7 linked regions of the Cricetulus griseus genome follow. The protein of the gene in region 5 interacts with the protein of the main gene of each other region in a pairwise test. Links are inferred from orthologs where the notes say so. Each region holds a gene or a part of one and is shown on either strand. Other genes may lie near its edges. The genes, in order: Wdr83, Mad2l1, Dpp3, Rela, Keap1, Ccnb1ip1 and Lsm3.

Evidence for each region.
Region 1: the proteins of Keap1 (region 5) and Wdr83 interact in binary tests that used the Homo sapiens proteins (3 or more experiments, as listed by UniProt). The two-hybrid records come from large-scale screens. The link is inferred for Cricetulus griseus from reciprocal best matches to the Homo sapiens genes KEAP1 and WDR83.
Region 2: the proteins of Keap1 (region 5) and Mad2l1 interact in binary tests that used the Homo sapiens proteins (3 or more experiments, as listed by UniProt). The two-hybrid records come from large-scale screens. The link is inferred for Cricetulus griseus from reciprocal best matches to the Homo sapiens genes KEAP1 and MAD2L1.
Region 3: the proteins of Keap1 (region 5) and Dpp3 interact in binary tests that used the Homo sapiens proteins (3 or more experiments, as listed by UniProt). The two-hybrid records come from large-scale screens. The link is inferred for Cricetulus griseus from reciprocal best matches to the Homo sapiens genes KEAP1 and DPP3.
Region 4: the proteins of Keap1 (region 5) and Rela interact in binary tests that used the Homo sapiens proteins (3 or more experiments, as listed by UniProt). The link is inferred for Cricetulus griseus from reciprocal best matches to the Homo sapiens genes KEAP1 and RELA.
Region 6: the proteins of Keap1 (region 5) and Ccnb1ip1 interact in binary tests that used the Homo sapiens proteins (3 or more experiments, as listed by UniProt). The two-hybrid records come from large-scale screens. The link is inferred for Cricetulus griseus from reciprocal best matches to the Homo sapiens genes KEAP1 and CCNB1IP1.
Region 7: the proteins of Keap1 (region 5) and Lsm3 interact in binary tests that used the Homo sapiens proteins (3 or more experiments, as listed by UniProt). The two-hybrid records come from large-scale screens. The link is inferred for Cricetulus griseus from reciprocal best matches to the Homo sapiens genes KEAP1 and LSM3.

The regions. Positions count from the first base shown.
Region 1 is NC_048596.1:159,287,796-159,291,295, reverse strand, and holds part of Wdr83 (WD repeat domain-containing protein 83), read right to left. Parts: intron 1,910-3,500; coding exon 1,842-1,909; intron 1,747-1,841; coding exon 1,638-1,746; intron 1,549-1,637; coding exon 1,434-1,548; intron 1-1,433. UniProt on the Homo sapiens protein: Molecular scaffold protein for various multimeric protein complexes. Acts as a module in the assembly of a multicomponent scaffold for the ERK pathway, linking ERK responses to specific agonists.
Region 2 is NC_048601.1:76,486,659-76,490,714, forward strand, and holds the start of Mad2l1 (mitotic spindle assembly checkpoint protein MAD2A), read right to left. Parts: upstream 2,801-4,056; 5' UTR 2,672-2,800; coding exon 2,599-2,671; intron 2,276-2,598; coding exon 2,129-2,275; intron 1-2,128. UniProt on the Homo sapiens protein: Component of the spindle-assembly checkpoint that prevents the onset of anaphase until all chromosomes are properly aligned at the metaphase plate.
Region 3 is NC_048596.1:54,373,667-54,376,968, forward strand, and holds part of Dpp3 (dipeptidyl peptidase 3), read left to right. Parts: intron 1-3,165; coding exon 3,166-3,302. UniProt on the Homo sapiens protein: Cleaves and degrades bioactive peptides, including angiotensin, Leu-enkephalin and Met-enkephalin. Also cleaves Arg-Arg-beta-naphthylamide (in vitro).
Region 4 is NC_048596.1:53,704,338-53,707,837, forward strand, and holds part of Rela (transcription factor p65), read right to left. Parts: intron 3,013-3,500; coding exon 2,908-3,012; intron 2,729-2,907; coding exon 2,516-2,728; intron 1-2,515. UniProt on the Homo sapiens protein: NF-kappa-B is a pleiotropic transcription factor present in almost all cell types and is the endpoint of a series of signal transduction events that are initiated by a vast array of stimuli related to many biological processes such as inflammation, immunity, differentiation, cell growth, tumorigenesis and apoptosis.
Region 5 is NC_048597.1:134,095,702-134,099,723, forward strand, and holds the start of Keap1 (kelch-like ECH-associated protein 1), read right to left. Parts: upstream 2,801-4,022; 5' UTR 2,553-2,800; intron 2,416-2,552; exon of another isoform or gene 2,266-2,415; intron 2,228-2,265; exon of another isoform or gene 2,060-2,227; intron 2,044-2,059; exon of another isoform or gene 1,805-2,043; 5' UTR 1,609-1,804; intron 1,199-1,608; 5' UTR 1,152-1,198; coding exon 513-1,151; intron 1-512. UniProt on the Homo sapiens protein: Substrate-specific adapter of a BCR (BTB-CUL3-RBX1) E3 ubiquitin ligase complex that regulates the response to oxidative stress by targeting NFE2L2/NRF2 for ubiquitination.
Region 6 is NW_023276807.1:206,446,618-206,448,729, forward strand, and holds the end of Ccnb1ip1 (E3 ubiquitin-protein ligase CCNB1IP1), read right to left. Parts: intron 701-2,112; coding exon 501-700; downstream 1-500. UniProt on the Homo sapiens protein: Ubiquitin E3 ligase that acts as a limiting factor for crossing-over during meiosis: required during zygonema to limit the colocalization of RNF212 with MutS-gamma-associated recombination sites and thereby establish early differentiation of crossover and non-crossover sites.
Region 7 is NC_048601.1:52,288,973-52,292,955, forward strand, and holds the start of Lsm3 (U6 snRNA-associated Sm-like protein LSm3), read right to left. Parts: upstream 2,801-3,983; 5' UTR 2,672-2,800; coding exon 2,651-2,671; intron 155-2,650; coding exon 44-154; intron 1-43. Other genes in the region: Xpc (DNA repair protein complementing XP-C cells), read left to right, coding at 2,937-3,030. UniProt on the Homo sapiens protein: Plays a role in pre-mRNA splicing as component of the U4/U6-U5 tri-snRNP complex that is involved in spliceosome assembly, and as component of the precatalytic spliceosome (spliceosome B complex).

The sequences.
Region 1 (3,500 bases), on a different chromosome or scaffold from region 5:
GCTCTACCTCCAGGTGCTTAAGTATCCTGGGAGTCTCTTATACCTCACTCACTCTTTTTTTTTTTTTAAATAAAGATTTTATTTATTTATTTATTATGTATACAACATTCTGCTTCCATGTATATCTACACACCAGAAGAAGGCACCAGATCTTTTAACAGATGGTTGTGAGCCACCATGTGGTTGCTGGGTACTGAACTCAGGACCTCTGGAAGAGCAGTCAGTGCTCTTAACCTCCGAGCCATCTCTCCAGCCTGCCTCACTCACTCTTACCCTCTTTTAAAAAAACAAAAACACAAAGGGCTCTGTAGTCCCAGGCTGGCCTCATACTTGCAGCAAATGCTGCTGCTTTTTTTTTTTTTTTTTTTTTTTTTTGAGACAGGGTTTCTCTGTAACAGCTTGGGCTGTCCTTGAACTCAGAGATCCATCTACCTCTGCCTTCCAAGTGCTGGGATTAAAGGCGTACCCCACCACCATTCGACTCAGCAAACCTTTCTTTATTTGCAATATAGTGCTGGGATTACAGGCTGTCTTGGAACTCAGTGTCTTTCATAGCCTCACCAGTTGCTGGATTACATGCATGTTCTACAGGGGACCCTCTTGGCACTGCCTTCAGACTCTAGAAGTGCCTGTTCTGCTTCTTGCTCCAGGCCTGTCTTGTTCTGAGTTCACTGTTCTCTGACATTCTGGGCACTAGCAGGCCTACTTGGCAGGCCCAGTGATTGTTATTTGCCTTACACCCCATAGTTACAATACTATAGTTCCTAACCTCATACTTTGTGTACCTTTGTGTGCCCTTCAAGGTTAATTTTAGTCAGGAGTTTTAGAAGTTGACAGACTGTTCTTGTTACCTTAGTTCCCAAAGCAAGAGCTCGTCTCTGGGGTTCCATAGTTTCCCCAGTCTTCTTACTGAGCTTAATTCTGCTGACTGGACCCCAACAGTGATATCTCCTTCTTGGAGGCCCTAGAACCCTGATCTCACTAAGCTAATGGTCCATTTCCCACTTGGGGCATATCAGGTTTAAAGCCGTATGAAGCCCACATGCAGATCAGGTTTTCTTGGGTGATGCAAGCCCAGGCTTGGTGCCCCGCACTGGCTCTTCTCATGCTTTAGTAGCTCAGCCTGGCACTTACAGCTCTGTCTGACCTGGAGCCAGCTACAGCCACCACCTTCTCCAGGTTCCTTAGCATATGCTGTTTCTCTTATTGAATTTGCTACCTTCTTTTACCTCCTTCCTTCAAACTCCAGCCTGGGAGGCTGAGGCAGGATAAATTCAAGCCCAGTGTGGGGCTACAAAGTGAGACCCACCTCTACACTCTATGCCAGAGGTCCCAGCTCAAATACCTAACATTACTGCTCTCTTCAGACCTGAGAGTAGCTGAGGTAAACATATAGCTGATGCCCTGGCAAGGAGTGAAAGGGGAAGGCTTACCTCTACCAGGTCCCAGAAGAACACTTTCCCATCCTCAGAGCAGCTGACCACATGTGTGTCACGCTCACTCAGGCAGCAGTCTAGCTTGTACTTCTGGTTCTTATGGCCAACATACCTAGCAGTAGAGGTGGGTGGAATTGAGGGGCTTGTTCCTTCTAGCCTCAAAAGTAGGGTGAGGGGGAAAGGCCAACCAAGGAGACTTACTCGCCCAGCAGTTCCCCTGTGTCTTTATCTAGAAGCCGCAAAGTAGAGTCCAGGCTGGATATCAGAGTGCACTGACCATCCTGGCTGAAGCAGGTGCAGGTGATGGGGCCTGGGAGAGAGTATGGCAGGCAGGTGAATCTGGATGCTCTTGTCTGCCCCATCATCTGCCTTGATTGTCCTGCTGGGACCCGAGACCACACTCACTGCCCACGTAGTCTGAGAAGACCTGCCCCATCCTTAGGTCATAGCGCCTCACTCGACCATCCACAGAGCTGCAAGAAAAAGTAGAAGCATTACAACTATTTACTCCATGGGCAACCTGTGTCCCCATGCATTTTTGGCTATCTATGAAAGTGTGAGCAAGGGAAAAAAATGCTCTCTTGTTTTGTGACTTAGGTCCAGGGGACAATTTGGTTCCATTCAAAGACTGTGCCCTCTTTTCCAAACCCCCAGAGCTCTCTAGATCTGCATCGGCACAGCAGTCAACCCTGTCTGTCTCTGTCTACATCCACATTTGACCAACTGCAGCTCAGGACTATTCTTATAAGACTATTATGTTTTTTTTTTTTCTTTTTTTTTTTTTAAAGATTTTATTTATTTATTTATTATGTATTCAACATTCTGCTTCCATGTATATCTACACACCAGAAGAGGTCACCAGATCTCATAAGGGATGGTTGTGAGCCACCATGTGGTTGCTGGGAATTGAACTCAGGACCTCTGGAAGATCAGCCAGTGCTCTTAACCGCTGAGCCATCTCTCCAGCCCCCTTTTTGGGTTTTTTGACAACAGAGTTTCTCTGTGGCTTTGGAGGCTGTCCTGGAACTAGTTCTTGTAGACCAGGCTGGTCTCAAACTCACAGAGATCTGCCTGCCTCTGCCTCCCAAGTGCTGGGATTAAAAGCATACACCACCACCTCTCGGCGTATTATCTGTTTTTTTTAAGACAAGGTTTCTTTGTGTAGCCCTGGATGTTCTAGAACTCACTCTGTAGACCAGGCTGGCCTCTTAGCATACACAAAGCCCTGAGTTCCATCCTTAACACACAAACCACGACCATGTATTAGGATGTACAGGCTCAATGAAAGCTATTTTACAGAGGGCTGGAGCAGCCTAAAGTTTGCTGTCCTTGGTAGACTCTAAAACCAGCCTACTGCAGATAACAAAGCAACTGCTCTCAGGGTGTGATTCCTTTCCCACTTCCAGTCTTATTCTTACATGTATGAAGCTTTCTGCCTGGAATCTCCAATCCTTAGTGCCCAGGCCCACCCAGCAGCTTTCATTGCCTTTTTTGAGACAGAATCTCATAGAGCCCTGGCTCATCTCCTTTCACCATGTGACTGAGGCTGTCCTTGAACTCCTGCTGGGTTACAGGTGTCCTATCACATTTAGCTCACCAGGAAACTTTCAAAGCACAGCCACTTCGTTCCAATCTTTCCCTCAAAGAAACATGGCCTTTCACTACTCTCAGAAAATTATATGTTTGCTGGGAGGCAGGCGGATCTCTGAGTTCAAGGCCAGCCTGCCTGGTCTACAAAGCTACACAGAGAAACCCTGTATTTTGCCTGCATGTATGTTTGTGTACCATGTGCATGCCTGGTGCCTGCACAGGTTAGAAAAGGGTATCAGATTCTCTGGAACTGAAATTACAAACAATTGTAAGTCATCATATGGGTGCTGGGAATTGAACTTATGTTTCTTTGGAAGAGAGGCCAATGCTTTTAACTACTCATCTCTCCATCTCCCATAGTTAACAAAACTAACCTCTATGCTCAGCTTTTTGGGATCCTTATTTTGACTTACAGAATGAAATGTTACCTGAGCTGGGCCAGGCTTTGAGGTACAGCACTCAGGAGGCAGAGCT
Region 2 (4,056 bases), on a different chromosome or scaffold from region 5:
AGTGAACAATTAAACTTGTGTTTCCAAACTATCATACTTGGTAGTAAGTTAGCTGGAGGGGGTAAAAAGAGGGTCTACAGACACTAGGATTCAAAGTTCATAGCATAAACCGGTAGAGAGGGAACAAAGCAATTTCATGCTTAAAACTGTTAAGATTATCTGATTAGCTTTCAATAAGAATCATTTTGATTCGAGGCCAGCCTGGTCTCCAGAACGAGTGCCAGGATAGGCTCCAAAGCTACACAGAGAAACCCTGTCTAGAAAAACCAAAAAGAATCATTTTGAGGTAGCTTTCAGGTTTCAGACTTCATTTCTCGTTGGACTGTTAACCTAGTAACTAATGAACAATTCTCGAGATCATCCTACATTTAGTTTTTATTCTGCAGAGTATAAAGCATACAGAGATGTCACGTTGTTTATGAGTCTGGAGTAGAGGGTTAGCTTAATCACATAAAAGTTGGTAGTGAAGTTGTGAATGGCACAGATAATCTAGCAATTATAAAGAGGATCTCAGATGGAACCCTGAGTTAATACTGAAATTGGGATAGCAACTCAGTATACATCATTTTTCTTTTGTAAGATTAAAGTTGGAGGGAGATGAAACCAACAGGAAGAATGGAAATCATAACAGAGAAACAGAAAATACAAGAAAGAAAAGAAAGAAAGAAAGAAAGAAGTAAAATGCTTCTAAAAAGGCTAGAGGAAATGGGACTGAAAAGAAAGAGAACAATTTGCCTATTCATAAAGAGCAATTCCTGTGTTTTAACTAGGACAGGAGAAGTGAGTGACAACAAAAATGTAGATGAGGTACAATGTCACCAGTGACAACCTGTAACCCCAGTATCAGTTAAGGCTGGATTCTCTATTGAACCAGGATGATGATGATGGTGATGACACCTAGCAATAGCTATCTAGCAGTTCCAGGTCAAGTATGAGTGACATCCAATGACCATACATGATTCCACCCTGACCCACAATCTGGGAAAATAATGAGAGATGGGCTGCTCCTCTCAGCGTATACGTATCTTGCTTGCACTTGAGAATAGAAATCTATCTCCACATATTTATCAAGTACTTCACCTTTCCTATTCTAGCTGTCTAATCTATCAAAGAAGTTCTCAACCAAGAGCAACTTTATCTACAGGGCTTCAAGGTTATCGAATTTCAGGATAGTCAAGAGCTTTTGAGAGACCCTGCCTCAAAAGTAAAACAAAACAAAAAAAATATGGCCTTAAAGAGATGTCTATGTTCAGCTGGTCACCAAAAGAAGGTCATTTTAATGCTAAAGTTAACAACAACAAAAAAAAAATGCAATGAACACTGTAATGAAACTACAATAGAAACAAACTAAAACATCTTTGCAAAAAAAAATTTCTTAGGAGCAGTGGTGCTCTTCCTAAGAATTGACACCTTCTTCGGGTCTTTTAAGGAACCAGGCATGCACCTGGTACATACAGACATAACCCAGGAAAAACACCCAAACACATGAAAAACTAGAGAGAAAAAAGACAGCTGTAATGCTTTTGGAATTGGTTTTTATAAGACTTTGTTGGGAGATACAAGGCTAAACACAGAAAAGATTATTATAATTAGAATGGCAATCCTAAGTGGTGTGCAACACGAGGAACAAGGATTCCAGAAGGAATAGAAATAGGTGGGAATAAGTATTGGCCAAACAGGCAGCACAACACTGAGCTACGAATGAATAAATAAACTGTCCAGATACTGAATTACAGCCACCGCTTTTAAGGAAGATAAAGAGAATAGTTGAAAAGTAAAACCGGAACTTTCCTGTATATTGTTATTTAGTAATACCCTGGTTACAACAACTGCAGCATATCAATGGGTGTCTAAGAAGAGCAAAATCATCTCGTGTAAAACCATCAACTCGTTGTACCTGTTTAAACCGCAAAATGCATTCCTAAAGCAGCTGATAAGACACTTCCGACTCCGAGACGCCTAACATCAATACACTCAGGCTACTTAAAAGCAGTGGGAGAAAGGATGGGATTTCCCTCCATTACTTCCTCCCTCCCAGTCCAGAAGCGCTGTATTTGAGAAGGCATATTGCTTTAAGCCACCCTCGTAAACGTAACCCTGTCAGAGGTAAAACTCAAAACGTGATTACCTTTCAGCTGTTCGACCACATTATTGAGATACTTTATGAGCTCGGGGTCAGTAGTTACAAGCAAGGTGAGTCCGTATTTCTGCACTCGAGTAAAGGTTTCCGACGGGTATATGCCACGCTGATACAAAATGCTGTTGACGCCAAACGCTGAAAACGAAAGGAATCGAGCAGTGAACACCTACTCACGTTTCCAAGTCTTCCAGAAAGCAGAGCTGACACAAAACGACACCGGAAAACCTTCAACCCAGCAATGCCAACTCTCACGACACCGCAGTCTAAGTGCAAATACACATGTGCTGAGCGGATGTCAACACAGACCCCGGCTTTCAAAGCGCGAATGGCACGATGCCCCAGGGAAGGCCCCTCCGTTCTCCGCCACGGCACGAACGAGCAGGAGACCGGGCGGTGGTTCCGCCCTAGCGCGTCCTAGGTCCCGGCCAGGCCGCTCTCCGGCCGCATTCAAAACTCACAAAAAAACTCGGCCACGATCTCCGCGCTCCCGCGCAGGGTGATGCCTTGCTCTCGGGCGAGCTGCTGCGCCATCACTCGATCTAACGGAGACCGCTGTCAGCCTCACCGCACACCGCGCCCTCCCGGCTCAGCTCCTTCAGCTATTCCCCGCCACCCGGTTCAAAAATAACTACGCAGCCCGCGGGGCGCTCCGTGCGCAAGCGCAATGTCCCGCAAGCCCCACCTACACCGCCGGTTTCCGGCCCCGGCCCCGTCCTATAAACGCCTCATTTCTCCCTAAGCCCGCCCCATACTTCCGGTTTCCGCCCTAAGTCCCTCCCCCATAACTGAACCCTCTAAGGACGGTCTGCTCTCAAGATTCCGTCCAGAAGCGCCGCTTCCGCTGTGAACGCAGTCCCTCGAGGACCAGAGAGCGGCCCCTAAGTTCCGCCCAGAGCCACTTGTATCCGGCCCTGGCTCCGCCCTCGCTGCTTGCGCAGGCGCAGAGTGGGCCTGGCTCCGCGCTCTCCGGCTTCCCGCCCGGGAGGGTCGCTGTGGGTGGGGCCTCTGGTCGGGTGTCCAGGAAGAGCCCCAGGGTGACGGGGTGTCCAGGAAGAGCCCCAGGGTGACGGAGGGAAGGCTCGCCGGCTAAGTCCAGGTCCGAATATCCCCGAAGTAGTCTCAGCTTCGTGGATAGTTTGCAGTTTGGGAGAGCCTGTGTTTTGTGTGGGAACGCGAATTTTCTGGAGAAATATCAGAATAGGGACTGGGTACAAGAGAAGGCTCAGCCAGTAAAGCCAGTAAGGTGTGTGCCTTCAACACACACACACACACACACACGAGAATCACACACACACACGAGAATCACACACACACACACACACACACACACACACACGAGAATCACACACACACACGAGAATCACACACGAGAATCACACACACACACACAGTAAACACACACACACGAGAAACACACACACACACACATACACACACGAGAATCACACACACACAGTAAACACACACTCACACACACAGTAAACACACACACACGAGAATCACACACACACACACACACGAGAATCACACACACACACACAGTAAACACACACACACGAGAATCCCTTCAACACACACACATGAGAATCCCGCACACACACACACACACACACACACACACACACACACACGAGAATCCCTTCAAAACACACACACACACACACACACACACACACACACGAGAATCCCTTCAAAACACACACACACAGTAAACACACACACACACGCACGAGAATCCCTTCAACACACACACACACACACACACACACACACACACACACACACACACACACACACACGCATACAAGAATCCCTTTCTTTGTAATTAAAATAGCTTGCTTTCAAGTTCTTTGGTCAAACGCTCTTCCTTTTTGAGTATTTAAAGCCTGTACCAGAGCATGTAAAGTTACACATGG
Region 3 (3,302 bases), on a different chromosome or scaffold from region 5:
GGAGACAGAGGCCAGATGGATCTCTGTGAGTTTGAGGACAGCCTGATATACAGAGTGAGTTTCAGGATGGCCAGGACTGTCACACTGTCACACAAAGAAACCCTATCTCAAAAAGCAAAAAAGAAAAAAGAAAAGAAAACCATGATGTCTTTGGTAGTTTCAGGAGTAGGAAGGGGGCATTAATTGGCAAAGCTAATGAGACCTAGGTGGGGGCTGGAATTTAGTTAGTAGTAAAGGGCCAGTATGAAGGTGGTAAAGAGAGAAAGTCATGCTGACAGCCTCTGGAGCTCACTGTACCATCTTTACAACTTTTTAATAAATACAAGATTTTTTGCTGCAAATGGCAAAAACAAGGAGCTGTTCTCAGAGCATTAGGTGTAGGAATCAAGGAATCAAATCTACCAGCTCCTAAGCAAGATTAAACCAGCCCCTTCTAGAGGCTGAGCCAGTAGGTCTTTTTTTTTTTTTTTTTTTTGAGCAGGGTCTTCTTATGTGGCCCTAGCTGGCCTGCAACTCTCTGTAGACCAGTCTGGCCTCAAACTCACAGAGACTGATTTGCTTCTTTCTCCCTAGTGCTAGGCTAAAGGTGTTACCACCATGAGTGACTCAGTTGAGTCTTTGTACAAGGGGAATCTTACAGCAAGCATCAAGTTCAGTTTCCTCAGCAGTGTTTCACAGAAACAGAATATGAAGTCATCTTTGATTCAGCTGTATATTGTGTCAGCCATGTTTTTCCCACTGGTATTAACAAAGGTTAGGTGTGAACCTGTATTTATGACTTCTTGGGAGGTCTGGCAACAGTAGGCTCAATTCCTCTGTGACTAACTGGCCAGAACTGAATAGTAGCCTCATATTCAGTCATGGCACTGACTATTCATTTTCCCCGGGGACTTCCTGCTTCCTGTTATTCCTATCATCCAATTTCTGTATCCACTAATTCTACATCCATAAATTCAACCAACTGCACACATGCAAAAATATTCAAGAGAATTATCTTGTATGTACTGGGCATCCACAATATTTTTTCTTGCCATTCCCTAAACAGTATAGAATAAGAACAATTTACATAGCATTACATGTCTTGGGTATGATAAGTAATCCAAGGAGCTGGGCTGTCGGTCAGTTGGTAGAGTGCTTGGTGTAATGCACATGAAGCCCTGGGTTCCATCCTCAGCACTGTGTAAAAGTGTCGGTTTGTACCTGTGACCCCAGCACTCAGATCAGGAGTGTAGTGGCATCCTTCACTACATGATTAGTTTGAGGCCAACCTGGGTAGACTACATAGGCTCTGTCTCAAAAAAAAAAAAAAAAATGCATACCTGAAGATACCGCTCAGTGGGTAAATATGCTTGCTGCACAAGCTTAAGGACCTGAGTTAAAATTCCCAGCACCCATGTGAGAAGCCAGGCCTGGTTGCATACACCTGTAACCCCAGCACTGTAAGGGGCATAGTCAGGAGGATCGTTGGGCTTGACCAGCCCCAGGTTTAGTGAGAGGCCTCGTAAGGGTTTATGGTGGAGAGCGATCGAGCGGGATGCCCAGTGTCTTTCTCTGGCTTCCTCTGCACACACCAAACACACATGTGCATATACATCAAACACATAGACACAATTAAATCTTTAAAATTTGTAAGAAATCTAAATGTGGTTAAAATATACTATACCAGAAGATGTGTGGAGCACACCCTTTTGGATTAGTGACTTGAACATGCAGATTTTGTTATCCACCGAGGGTGCTAGAACCCACTCCTAGTAGACTGTAGCTGCCTGAGTCACTGCTGATACTACTGGCTCCTTTGGCATCCGTTTTACTAACTCCAGTTTGAGCTACCCAGGTCTGGCTTGTTGGTGTGATGAACATTACATATTACCAAGAAGTGAGAGAGAGATGACCTGAATCCCCCCCAGAGCTTACATGGGGGAAGGAGAGAAAAGACTCCCATGCACACACACCCCAAGGAAACAGAAAAAGAAAAAAACTAGGGGTTGGGGATTTAGCTCAGTGGTAGAGCGCTTGCCTAGCAAGCGCAAGGCCCTGGCTCATAGGAAAGACAGATTGTAGATCTAACTGAAGACAAAAAGAAATAAAACATGGAGTAGAAAACAATGGGGGGCCAGACTAGGAATTGAACCTCAGACTTCAGTCTTACTAGGCAGGCACTATACCACTGAGCTGTATCTGAAGCTTTCTAAGAGAAAGGTTAAAGAGAAGCGGAGCAATGTCTAATATAACAAGCTCAAGAGCGTGGGAGAGAGACATAGAAGAGACAGTGTCACAGGAGAACCTGTGTTGGTGGAAGGGAAAGATATGCTTCCATAGCTGCCTCTATATGGGCTTTAATACTATTTACACAGGCGGAGCTTGGATGCTGTTAAAAGCCTCACCTCTTTTAATTTTCATTTAAATTGGTTTTGGGTGTGTGTATGTATGTGTGTGAGCGTGGTGTATGTGTGTGTCCTGCTCTATCACTCTCTGCCGTGTTCCCTTGAAACAGGGTCCCTCGCTAAACCTGGAGCAAGGCCGGCAGCCAGCAAGACCCAGGGACACTCCTGTCTCCCCTACCTCCCAGCACTAGGATCACAGACCCATGTGTCATTGCTCAGAGTTTTACATGGGTGCTGGGAATTTGAACTCATGCTTCTCTTTCTTACCCACTGAACCATCTCTTCAACCCCCAAACCCAACCTCTTAATATATACACTAGCCCCTTTTGAATGTATTAGCTGTCAGACATTGTGCTACATAACCTTTAATCTCCACAGGGAAAAGGCAGAAGCAGGCAGTTCTCAAGTAAGTTCAAGGCCAGCCTAGTCTATATAGCGAGACTCTGTCTTTAAAAAAAGGAGAAAAAAAATAGCCATCTAGGATTTTTTTTTTGTTTGTTTTTGAGGCAGTCTTATGTAGTTCAGGCTGTACTCCCTATGTTGCCAAGGATGACTATGAACTCTCGATCTTCCTGTCTCTACCTTCCAAGTTATGGAATTATAGGTGTGTGCCATATACCCAACTGGGTCATTAAGTTTTAGCACTGAAATTTTATAGAAGACAGATCGTTTCATAGCACATCCTATCCAGATCTAGGCCCAGCTGGCTGTGGTCCCTGGCAGAGTCCTGTGGATGCAAGGTGAGTGCCCATTCTACATGCTTAACTCCTCCTCCTTGCAGGTGCTGAAGTCCACAGGGGATGTGGTTGCAGGGCGGGCCCTGTATGAGGGGTATGCAGCCGTCACTGATGCACCTCCAGAGTGTTTCCTCACCCTCAGGGACACAGTTCTGCTGCGCAAGGAATCCCGGAAACTTAT
Region 4 (3,500 bases), on a different chromosome or scaffold from region 5:
GGATTAGTGACTGTGGTGACCTGGCATGTCTCAGCCTTAAGCCATGAGGTTCGGCCTGAGTGGGGATGTGTGGACCTGGAAACTCCTAGCAACCCAGCCTCGATAAAGACCAAACACAGGCATCTTGTCATCTTTAGAGAGCTCTCAGTTCCATGTTGTAAAACTGGAGTCTCTTCTCTATTTACCATCTTTTTGGCTGTTTCTTAACCATGCTTCCATGGCCACGAGGAGACCACTGCTGTCCTTCTGTTCTCCTCTCTGGTCGGATGGCTCCTGTCTGTCCTCACTTGTACCTTACACCTAGCACCTAGGCCCAGATGCAGGCCTATTCAGATGCTTAGGCCCATAGAGATGCAAACTAGGAGGCATTCTATACTAAGGCTATTGTAAACAATAGCAGACCTGCTAGCATTAGCAATACAATAGTGGGCCGGAGCTTTCCGTGAAACCAGAGGCTGGACCTCAAAACATTCTATAATGGAACTATTTTGGTCCCCCAAAAGTGATAAGAGACACAAGGTGGCACAAAGTCCACAAAGCTAAGTGACCTTGGTTTAGGTGTGCCACTGCCTCTACTGCTAGTGAATTCTGTTAAATCATTCCCCTAAAAAGGTGATGATACGCCAGGCATTGGTGGCACAGGCCTTTAATCCCAGCACTCAGGAGGCAGAGGCAGGCGGATCTCTGTGAGGCCAGCCTGGTCTTCAGAGCAGAAACACTGTCTCAAAAAACCAAAAAAAAAAAAAAAAAAAAAAACAAAAACAAAAACAAAAAAGGCGATGAGAGGTTAAAAGGACCACTCATAGGAAGGGTAGATACAGTAGACAGAGCTGAATAAGTTGGATGTCAGAGTTAGGGAAGAAATAGATTATGACTATAATTATATGTTGCTTGACAATGGGGGCACAGCCTGGCAGTGGTGGTGGTGGCGGTGGCGCACGCCTCTAATCCCAGCACTCAGGAGGCAGAGGCAGGTGGATCTCTGAGTTCGAGACCAGCCTAGTCTACAAGTGCTAGTTCCAGGACAGCCTCCAAAGCCACAGAGAAACCCTGTCTCAAACACCCCCCTCAAAAAAAAAAAACAATGGGGACACATCTTAAGACATGTTGCTAGGCAAATTTGTCATTGGATGAATATCCATTTTATTATTACCTCTGTGTGTGTGTCTGTGTGTGTGTGTTCATGTAGGTGTATGAATGTGCATGCATGTGTGTACAGATGTGTGTATGAGTATGTCAAAGCCAAGGCTCAATGCCTGCTTATATGTGTGAGCACCTTGTACATGCCCAGTGCCTGCAGAGTTCAGAATAGTGTCAGATCCCGTGGAACTAGACAGGGTGCTGGGAATGAAGCCTGGGTTCTCTGGAAGAACAGCAAGTGCTCTTAACCACTGAGCCATCTTTCCAGCCCCATCCACCTTAATTATTTGAGATACGATCTCACTATATAGCCCTGGCTGGTCTGGAACTTGTAAGGTAGACCAGGCTGGCCTTGAACTCACAGAGATCTGCCTGTCTTTGCCTCCCAAGTGCTGGGATTAAAGGTGTGCACTGCCATGTCCAGCCCACTTCATTTTTTGAGACAGTACCTCTCACTGAATCTGGAGCAAGGCTGGCTGGCCAAATAGCTCTAGAGGTCCGTCTATTTCCACACCATCTGCACGCTAGCTACACACGTTTGCTGGAGTACCCAGCTTATTATATGAGCATCTTTTTCATCTTTTTTGTTTGGTTTGTTTTGTTTTTCAAGACAGTGTTTCTCTGTGTAGCTTTGGAGCCTATCCTGGCACTCACTTTGTAGACCAGGCTGGCCTAGAACTCACAGAGATCCATCTGCTAGCCTCTGCCTCCCAGGTGCTGGTTTTACCTTTTTTTTTATTTTTCTTGAAATTTAAAGATTTATTTTATGAATATGAGTGCTATATCTGCACATAGGACCTATGCCAGAAGAGGGCACCAGATCCAACTATAGATGATTGTGAGCAACCATGTGTGTGGGTGCTGGGAATTGAACTCAGGACCTCTGGAAGAGCAAAGAGTGCCCTTAACCTCTGAGACACCTCTCCAGCCCTGGTTTTCTTTCTCTCTCTCTCTCTCTCTCTCTCTCTCTCTCTCTCTCTCTCTCTCTTTGTTTATATGAGCATCTCAAAGATTACTTACACAAACTAAGACACCTATGTCATTAGACAGTGTAGTTCCTCACCCCCCTCCCCCAGGTCAGAGTTTCTCTGTGTAGCCTTGGCTATTCTGGAGCTAGCTCTATAGACCAGGCTGGGCTCGAACTCATAGATTCATTTCCCTCTGCCTTCTGAGAGCTGGGATTAAGGGTGAGCCACCACTGCCCAGCTAGATAGCGCAGTGTTATATGACCACCATGGCATATGTGGTCTTTGACAGAAATACTATGTGCAATGAACTACAGTATGTATAAATCCTATGTGCTTGTCCCAGACATCCTGGTCTTTTTCCCAGCTGGGGTACAGAAGCCTTGGTACTGCTCTCCCTAGCATCACACCTGTGTCTGGCAGGTACTGGAACTCCATGGGCTCACTGAGCTCCCGATCAGAAGGCCGCCGAAGCTGCATGGAGACACGCACAGGAGCCTGCAGGCTGGGGTCAGCGTATGGAGGAGTCCGGAACACAATAGCCACTTGCCGGTGCACATCAGCTTGAGAAAAGGAGCCTCGTGCTTCCCAGCCTGGTCCAGTGAAATACACCTCGATGTCTTCTGCAGGAGACAGAGTAGTAAGGGTTAGTATCTGAATTCCAATGGACCTTGGTCCCCAACTCCTGATGCTTTTCCCCTGAGACGTCACCCTGTTTCTCCTGAAGCCACTGAGGTCCCTGGCACTCATCACCCTCTCAGCCTCACCCCGCCCCTCGTGGCACACATAGCCCAGTGTGTACCTTTCTGCACTTTGTCACACAGCAAGAAGATCTCATCCCCACCAAGGCAGCTCCCGGAGTTCCGGTTTACTCGGCAGATCTTGAGCTCAGCAGTGTTGGGTGCACCTGAGGATGTGACATGGATGGAAACCCTGAGCCACCACAGGTCTCCAGGGCACCCGACAGGAGATGTAACAGCGATGCCTGGCAAGTCCCATGTCAAGGTCTTCCTTCCACAGCTTGCTGACAACACTTCTGCAGACTAATCCCATCTGCTCTTCACCTCAACCAATTCAAAAACACCTCCTGCTGTGTGTGTGGAGCATGGCTCTAGAAAAGGCAGCAGAGCAACAAAGAGCCCAACGTATTCCTGTCCTCACAGACCTTACAGCCCAAAGGAAACAATCTGACACCTTGTCTCCCTCTGCCTGATCAAACACATTTTCAGCTTTTGGTTCATCTCTACCCTTGGCAATGAGTCTTTCCCTCCTCACTCCCAGTTAATCCTGGTTTCCGGTCCTTGGGGCTCCAAAGGCCTTTTATTTTCAATTGCCCTGCTGCTTACTAATCCATCAGTGTCAGCCCAGGTCATCTGAGAGCTTCCTGTGAGCTGC
Region 5 (4,022 bases):
GCCCTGGGCTCCATCCCAGTACCACTTAAGTCAATTGTGATTATGAATGTCTGTAATTCCAGTACTTAAGAGACAGAGGGGCTGGAGAGATGGCTCAGAGGTTAAGAGCACTGGCTGTTCTTCCAGAGGTTCTGAGTTCAATTCCCAGCACCCACATGGTGGCTCACAACCATCTCTAATGAGATCTGATGCGTTCTTCTGGCGTGCAGGCATATATGGAGGCAGAATGGAAGCAGAATGCTGTATACATAATAAATAAATCTTAAAAAAAGAGAGAGAGAGACAGAGGCAGATGAATCAGGAGTTTAAAGTCATCCTTGGCTACATAACCAGATTAGGGCCAGCCTGGGCTACATGAGACTCTATGGGGGAAAAGGAGGAAATAAAAAGAAAATACCAAACAGAAGCTTTCCTCCAAACTTGAATGACTGTTCCAGTCTCCAGGGGAGATGGCTATGTTGGCCTGTCTCACTCCTGGTGACAGCTGAGCCCAGGCCCCAGCCCTGACTCACCTCCCCAAAGTGCATGTAGATATACTCCCGGGCACGCTGGTGAAGCTCAGTGCAGCCAATCTGCTCAGCGAAGTTGGCAATGCCAATGGCATTGCTAGGGTCCAGCTGCTGCACGAGGAAGTCGCTGCAGGCTCGGACCACACTGTCAATCTGATACATGACTGCACCATTCATCACGTGCAGCACACACTTCTCGCCCACGGAGATGGAGGCCGTGTAGGCGAACTCAATAAGCCTCTCCATGACCTTAGGGTGGATACCTTCAATGGACACCACCTCCATTCCCTGCTCCCGAAGCCCATTGGTGAACATGGCCTTAAAGACAGGGCTGGAAGAGGCCAGCACCACCTTGTGAGCCATGAATTGGGCAGCTGGGATGTCCTCGTATTTGACCTGCAGGGTCACATCACAGAGCTGCTGGCTCAGCCGAAGCTCATTCATGATGCCAAAAGCCTGCTTGGTGTGGTCCTCTAGCGTGTAGCTGAAGGTGCGGTTGCCGTCCTGGGAGGGCGTCACCTCGGCCTTGCACTCCGTGGAGGCGTACATCACCGCGTCCCCGGCCCCCTCGGGGCACTTTGACGACAGGGGCAGGAACTGGCTGCTGCGGGGAGCCCCGCTAGGCCTGGGTTCTGGCTGCATGGGGTTCCGGGTGACAAGTTACAATTCCACCACTAGCAGTTAGGGTCCTGGAGGGAGGGAAGAGTACAGAGCTGGGAATAGGTGAGGACAGACCTTGCAACGCTTCCTTTTCTGTCTTTCCTTTTTGTTTTTTTTTTTTGGAGATAGGGTCTTTGGGAGCCCAAGTTAGCCTCAAATTCACCATTTAACTAAGGCGGGCTCTTGAACTACTGATCCTCCTCTGTGCTGGGATTACAGTGTGTGCCGCCATGCCCAGTCAGGCTTCCTTTAGAAAAATTAAGCAAAAGTTTCTAGAACAGTTTGCCAAGCCAAGTAAACTGCATAATCCTGACTCCATTCAAACTAATTAGTCCCAACTCACTCGCCTGAAGGCTCGTCTAAGAAACATATCACATCATGTCCCTTTCTGCTCAGAATCGCCCAACACCTTTCAACAAGCCCAAGAATGGAAACCTACCTCAATGGCCTGCAAAGGCCCACAAAGTCAGCCCCTTTCCAACCTCTTCGCTCACTGTCCCAGCCATCCTTCCCTTCCCTGCCTCCAACAAGCCAAATTCCTTTCTTCAACACCTCACCAAAATTTACAGAGCCTGCCAAGTATGTAGTAGGCACTGTTCAGAGCTCCAGGAACACAGCAGGAAGAGAGAGGAGGCCTGAAAATACAGTGTAGAGGAAACACTGGGTGCCAAGGTTCTGGGGCAGAAAGTGTGGGCATCAGGAATGCCCACCATGGGCTATACAGGGACCCAGGAGCCCCCTGGAGAGCTGGGGCCAGGGGACGCGGTATATTTTGAATCGGGGATGTGGGGCGAGGGTTTTGGGGCTCAGGCTGGAATCGCATCCCCCTCCCGGTGTTAGGATGTCTATGAGAGCACCACGGTGGGGGTGCCGGGGGCGGTGGAACGCACCAGGGCCCCAGTAAGTGAGCGACTGTCACGCGTGACCACACTGCCGGAGCACAGGCCTGGCATTGCGCAGGGGGCTGCGCAGCGACGACCCGGTGCCCGGCGCCTGCTCCGGCGGCCTCCCCACCGCTCGCTCGGAGGCGCAGCCCAGACGCCTGGAGGGCCCGCAGGGCCTGATCCCGGGCCCCGGCCCGGAGCGGCGCACTCACCCCGCCATGGCCGCGCTCCGCCTCCGCCTCCGCCGCGCGGGTCACGGTGACTAAGCACAGCGCGCCACCCTGTCACAATAAGAGTCCCGGGGCGCCGGCCGCGGGCGACCCCTCCCCTTCACTCGCCGGCCGCGGCCGCCACCTACGCCGGCGGGAGGGCGGGCTCGGCGGCCCGGGTGCGCACCGGGGGCACGCGCTCCCCCCACCGCGTGCACGGCCCCCCACGCGCGGCCGCGGGCGGCACTCGGAGCCGACTCCCCATCGCATCTCCGCGGGTGCTCGCTCACCTCCGTCCCACCCCCCGGGTGTCTGTGTCGGTGCCACGCGTCCAATCCGCGCCGCCGGGCCGCCACGCGCCACGCTTCCGGGAGGAGCCGAGGGGACCCGGGGGTCCTTGGATCGGGGCCGCGGTGCTGCGGGGTCGCTAGCGGGCAGCACGCGTGGGAGGAGCGGGAGGGCGGAAACGAGCGGCGGGCACGCAGAGGCGGTTCCAGCCCTTCCTGCAGGTGCCGGGCGGAGGGAGCAGGGCGTGGGTCTGGGCGGCCCTAGGAGCCTGCCTCCGGGTTAGGCTGTCGGGGCTCCTCCTGCACCCTCCGGCCCTCCCACATCCCACACCCACACGGTCCGGCTGGACCCATCTACCTGGTTGATTTTATCTATATGTATATCTTTTAAGATAACTTTATAATGTTTGCATTTCAGTTTGCGTGTATGGGTGGGTGTTTAGCCTGGGTGTCTGTGTACTGTGTTCCTGCATTGCCTTCTGAAGTCACAGGTGGCTGTGGGCCACCGTGTGGGTGGGGGAATTGAACTCTGGTCCTCTGCAAGAGCTGCACGTACTCTCAAATGCTGAGCCATCTCTCCATCCTTATAACTTAAACAAAAATTTATTAATTTTATGTATGAGCGTTTTGCCTGTATGTGTATATGTATGTACGCCACGTGAATGCTTGGTGCCCACCGAGGATGGGATTCCCTGGAACTGGGTCTACACAAGGTTGTGTGAGCATTCGGGATCCGGGAATCAAGCCTGAGTCCTCTGTAAGAGCAGTATGTCATTGTTTCTTTTGTTTTTCTTTTTTTTAAGATTTTATTTATTTATTATGTATACACTTGTCTGCATGCATGCTTGCACACCAGAAGAGGGCACAAGATCTCATTATAGATGGTTGTGAGCCACCATGTGGTTGCTGGGAATTGAACTCAGGACCTCTGGTAGACCAGCTAGTGTTCTTAACCAGTGAGACATCTCTCCAGCCCCCCAATTTTTTTGTTGTTCTTATTTTTGGTTTTTTGTTTGTTTTTGTTTTTTGAGACAGGGTTTCTCTGTGTAGCTCTGGCTGTCCTAGAACTCACTTTGCAGACCAGGCTGGTCTTGAACCCACAGAGATCCTCCTGCCTCTGCCTCCCGAGTGCTGGGATTAAAGGCTTGCGCTACCACAGCCCAGCTGGGCCAAGTATTCTTAGCTACTGCGCCACTGTAACTTCTTTTTGGGACAGGGCCTCATTGTCTGTCACTGGCTGGCCTTGAACTCTCAGAGACCCTCCTGCATGCTGGGGTTAAAGGCTGTGACATCACTCAGGGCTTTTTTACATTAATTTATGTGTTGTGTGTGCTTGTGTAGAGGTCAGAGAATGACTCGAAGAAACTGATTCCCAGCTTCCACTCTGGAGATGGAACTCAGGCTGTCATACTTGGCAACAAGCTGGTTCACCTGCTGAGTCATCTTGAAGGCCCCCTTGTTGAGTTTTGCAAC
Region 6 (2,112 bases), on a different chromosome or scaffold from region 5:
AAATTGTACTTTCATTCACTGGCACAACACACTTCCAAAACAAGCTAATACAAATAAAAATACATGACTGTGTACAACACATGCAAACAGCAAGCCACCATTTTCCAAGACAATCATTTTTTGGCCAACACTTTCCAAGATCATAATTTTTACATAAATATACTGGCAAGTAGAGAAAATCAATGCACACACTTAGCATATACATACTAGACCGAAAGCACCATGTAAATATAACACTGGTGCTTACAGACGCATGAACGAAGTTTGGCCTGAAACAGGGATTATGCAACAATGTTGTGACTATGTGAGCAGTGAGACTGAGATTCACCAAATGCCTATGCTCTAAGCAAAAAAATGAAGAAACCAAACAGGAAGCCACACACCCTACTGCAACCCAGCTTCCTCTAAGGTGAAAATGTGAAGAGAACTCAGGAATGCCAATTACTTCAGCTAGAGTAAAACTGTACGAAAACAGACACGGGCTAGACATGTGAAACAAGCTAAATTCTTTTTGCTTTAAAGGCCCTGCTGCAGACTTGCTGCTCTGATTCATGGCTTTGAGAAGCAAAACTAAAGAAGTTGTTAATGGGTTCAGGTGCTGTGGGGGAATCCACAAAAAATGGTCTGAACTGAACATCTTCATCTCCACCACCTCGGCTTCCAACTGGTGTATGGTCCAAAGGAAACTTTGAGCTGTTCCCTGGGGGAGAAAATCAGGGAAGAATGTAAGAATATCTCCTAATAGCTCTTTAGAAACAAACTAATAGCTGCTAAATAAATATTTTAACAAAATTCAACTATGAGTGGATAAAATAATTATCTTAAGTTCATCTCCTATGATAAGATAAATACAGACCTAACCCAAGACCAAAGACTGTGTCACTCAGCTCCCCCCCAGGACAGAACATACTATGCCTTCTGTGAAAAATCAAACAGACTAGATAAACATCTAACTATTTCTACCAGACCCCTCCTTGGCTTTAATAGATTTCATTCAAGAGGAAAAAGCGGATTGTATCTGCCTAAAAGTAACAGAGGTCAAAAGCTAAGTACAGGGCTAGAGAGCAGCTCAGTGGTTAAGAGCAGTTGCTGCTCTTGCAGCAGACCCAGGCTTGGTTCCTAGCATTCACATCATGGGTCACAACCATCCAGTTCCATGGGATCCAACACCCTCTTATGGCCTCCATGGGCAGCACACAAGTAGTACACATACATAACACACACACACACACACACACACACAGGCAACAAATACACATAAAAAAAGAAATCTTTTTATAATGTACAAAAAGAATATAAGAACAACTACAAGAACAAAAAAATATGTACAACATATTTTTGGAATGACTAAATTATTGTGCAATAATTATTTTATACATTGTGAAGATGTGTCTTTGCCAAGGCTCCTTCTGTTTGGTTTAATAAAGAGCTGAATGACCAATAGATAGGCAGGAAGAGGTTAGGCAGGACTTCTGGGCACAGAGAAAAGAAGAGGAAATGAATCTAGGCACAGGGGAAACACCAGAAGAAACAGGAAGTACAAGATGGAAGAGAGGTAAAAAGCCACAAGGCAAAACATATATATATATATATTTTTTTTGAGACACGGTTTCTCTGTGTAGCTTTGGAGCCTGTCCTGGCACTCGCTCTGTAGACCAGGCTGGCCTCGAACTCAGAGATCTGCCTGCCTCTGCCTCCCAAGTGTTGGGATTTTTAAAGGCCACCAACACCCGACTCCAAAACATAGATTAATATAATTGGGTTAATTTAAGTTATAAGAGTTAGTGGGACAAGCCTAAGGTATTGGCCAAGCTTTCATAATTAATAATAAGCATCCATGTCATTATTTGAGAGCTGATTGTACAGAGAAAGACTTGCTACAGTAAATTGATATTTATAAATATGAAGCAGGCAGAAAACTATTTTTAGACTGGCTCTCACTCTAATACTGACACTAGTTTGTAGGCCAATTGGTCTCAAACTTACAGCAATCCACCTGCCTCAACCTCCTGAGTAAACCTCCTAGGATTAAAGGCATACACCACCATGCCAGGCAGGAGCCTTCCTTATTTATTTGTCTTTTTTCCAGACAGGATCTCACTATGTAGCTTT
Region 7 (3,983 bases), on a different chromosome or scaffold from region 5:
TGATAGGGAAACATCTGGTTTTGAGATAATTTAAAAGACTTACATGTAATCTGCCTCGAAGCTCTCGGTCGTTTCTCATCTTCACATAAATTCGCTCATCCAAACTGAGCCTGATGAGATCCAGGGGCTCCTCTACGGTATTGGTAGTCTGTTGCTGATGAAGGAAACACACTTAGTAATGGACCACCAGAGGCAGAGTGGTGTTTCAATCACTGTTAAGCAGTGAAACCAAGGGCTAGTCACATAACCCGTTTATACCTTAGTCTAATTTGCCAAATGCAGAAAATAGTGTCTCCCCAATACTATTATTTTAAATGACATATGAAAGCTTAGAACGGTGCCTCGATGCTATGTAAAAGAGGAGAAAAACATTATGTGGAGAGGAGTTAAGTAGCAAAATGATGACTGAACTTCCAAAAAATCCAAAGTGTTAGAGTACCACTTAGGAACCTTAGCTTTATCTTTTGTATAATTCAATCATTTGAAAAACATACCTGCAATACCTATTCACACACTACTAAAAAGATCTGACAGAATTTGAAGTCAGTACAGCGCAGGTTAAGTTTAGGGTGCTAATTGGCTGGCAAGATGAACCTACCTACCGAGTAGTATAGTATAGAAGTTAAAAGAACTGAGTCATTAGGAAGCCTTTGTTCAATTCTGGGTTCTGACCTGGCTCTTCTGAACTGGGATTAAAAATCATGCCATTTCTTGTTTCAGACTCCTCATTTGCAAACTGGGGAGACCACATCTTTGCCTCAGAGATCTTATAAGGACTAAAGGGTCTATCTGAAGTAAAAAGGAAACACTTCTAAATAATTACCTTTTTTTTTTTTTTTAAGAGGCATGCCCATGACAGCCTTTGATGAGCAGCAAGTCTTTGCCTCTCAGATGCTGGGATTGGGCAGGTATGAACCGAGTCTGGAACTTTTAAGAGTGTGTGTGTGTGTGTGTGTGTGTGTGTGTGTGTGTGTGTGTGTGTGTGATGGGGTTCAAGTAGCTGTCAGAAGACAACTTTATAAAGTTCTCTCCTTCCTCTGTGTGTCCCAGGAATTGAACTCAGGTTGTCACGCTTACAAACTGCAAGCATTTTTACCTGTTATCTTACCAGCCCCACTCCCAGCACCTGTAATTTCTTATATTTAATATAATCTCTTGCTTGCTTCAAGATTTAAGAATGCATTCTTGGTCAGTCATTTCAGAGGAATGATAAATCAGAATTACTCTTCAAGAACTGTTGGAACAGGTTTCAAAGGTTAGAACTGGGATGACCTGGATTCAGCTATATGAAAGAGGTGGTTCCAGCCATCAAGAATTAGTAAGACCATTCAGCAAGCTTCTCCAGTGAGTACCTGGGGTCAGTGAAAGCTGAAAATTGTAGGCTGTGTAGATATGAGGCTGATGACAGGAAACAAACAACCCTCCCAGAACACCCCCAACCCCGGATCTCAACTGGTGCTTTCCTCCTCCCACCTTAGCTCAGCAGGCTTTTGTTAAGAAATCAGACAACCAACCACTGGATTACAACAATACAGAAGCCGCATCCCCTCAATGGAGCTCACTCTAGTATGGAGAGGGGCATATAAATACATAGCTGCAAAACAATGAAATCTGTTCCCACGACAGCCCTCTTCAGTCTAGGATGGCCACTGTCAATCCTTTTCACCCTGTAAGCTTTACATTCTGCCTTTTCAAAGAAGCTGCCCCTGAACATTGGGTTCGTTCCCTCAACTAATAACCTGCTGAGTGCTAACAGCACTGTCCTAAACCTAGGAAAGAAAAGCAAACACAGAAAACCCCCCTTTATTTTAAAGGTTTACTTTTATCGTGTATGTGAGCAGTTTGCCTGTATGCATGTGCACCACACGCTGACACAGTGCTCGGTAGCAGAGGCCAGAAGGGGGCAGAGGATCCCCTCCTGCAACTGGAGTTAAGATGCGTTGGGGTGCTGTTAAGCCAACATGTGGGTGCTGGATCCCAACCATGGTCTTCTACAAAAGCAACAAGTGCTCTTAACTCCTAAAGCAACCTCTCCAGCCACCCCCGCCCCAATGCCCCTATTAAGTAACTTACGTTCTAGTTATGGAAGAAATGTCTCAGATAAAGAAATACATATTTAAAATAACATGCTCTGTTATTTTAAATACCCGTGTGTGGGTGCGTGTGCGTGTGAGGGAGTGCAATCATTTCGGAACTCCACAGGTAGCTAAGGAATAGGGGGAAGAGCAGGTGAAGAGGGCAGCCTGTGATCCTGTGTGCACCCGATCTTGGCTTGCTTTCTCCAGACTACATCTCCACCAGGTTCTCTACCTCCCTCCCTCCCTCCTACTGCACTCCAAGTGAGCCGCTGCCTGCGCACCAGGCGCTTGCACGTATTACAAAGCTGGTGTCCACCACTACCTCACGCTTTCTGTCTGGTGTCGACAGCCGTTTGCATTTTACAGATAAAAGCCGATGCCGAGCGTGATGGGCAGATAGGCGGGTTGAGAAAACTCTAGGCCTGCGGAAGTTTCAGGAGCCGGCGCGGCTACGGAAGGCCGTGGTTCCTCGGGACAAAGAGAGACGGGCCGCTTCTCAGCGAGCGTGGAAAACGCGAACCCGACCTGGAAGCGCAAGCGCTTCCTCTAAGAGCGCCTCCGGACAAACTTACCTGATCTACGTCGTCCGCCATGTTTCAAACGCTGCGCCCTTTCCACCTCTCGCGAGAACAGGCACTCAGAAACGCAAAGGGTTCCACTCTCGGGAAGTAGACCTACTTTATTTTTGTCCCTTTGCGCCCCTGTAGTTTGCAGGGGGAGGGGTTTCTCCGGAGGGCGTGGTCCCAACCTGGTCAGGGGGCGCGGCCCAGGCATGGCCCGCCTCGGGGCGGGGCGAGCACGCGGAGAGTGTCTGCGGCCGGCTGGCTGCGGTAGCCCGGAGTGTCGCTGCCGGGCAGCATGGCTCCGAAGCGCCCTGCGGGAGGAAGGCGGCGGGGGCGCGGCCGAGAAGCCGAGAACAACAAAGCAGCCCGGCCGGAGGAGAGCGAGGCGGGTGAGAGGCTGCGGCGCGCAAGGCGATGGTGGCGGAGGCTGGGGCGGGCAGCGGGGCGGAAGGTCTCCACGGCCGGATGCGCGGCGCCCCGAGGGCCTCTACCATCAGCCCTGACCCCACCGTAACCCCTAGGACCAAGTCCAGCCTCTTGGCAAGTGTTGAGGGCCGATCAGGAAAAAGCTTCCCTGTTGCCCGGTGTCAGAGAGACACCAAAACTAGGACAGAGGGAGACCTTGTAGTGTGAGAATCTCTCTCCAAGTTGCATCCACTGTAATTCCGGCCCCAGGTTTGCGATGCGCTTCTTACCTTGGTCTTGAACCAAGGAGAAGCTTAAAATATTCCCATCTCAATAAATCACTCCTTCACCCACCTGTTAAAACACGCCTTTTCTTAACTGCTAGTTCGTCAGGAGGTCCAGTTCAGCTTCGGAGTCACTGAAATATGTGCCTAATTCTCTTAATTTCATAGCTGGTATCCTGTTCCTGTCGTTTTCTAGTTGAGTGAGTTCCCCTCTACATCAGATCTCCATCCAGCAGCCAAGTGATGTAGAACGACAACAAAACTTCATATGCCTTGGTCTTCTTACTTAAAACCTTCTTAGATGTGTGCTCTCCGTGTATAGCATCTACCTCACTTAGCATGTCTCTCTTCCAGATATTCTTATTTTAAACAGCAGCCCGGCCTAGAGCTCTGGGTTTTTCCTGTCTCATCCTCATGATCACAGGGATTACAGATGGCTCTTGGTGACTGCCTTTCTCTTCTTTGAATATACTGTTTATTTATCTGGAGGCTTGGCCTTCCATGTTTCTTTGCCTTAGAATGTTCTCCGTCGCTGTTGCTGGGTCTAATTTCTTCTCTACTTGAGGTCTAAGACATTCCACGGTCATCTTAAAGTAGTCATTCCTAGGTATCCTCCACCACAGAATCACAGTGATGTTCCTATTCACCTATCA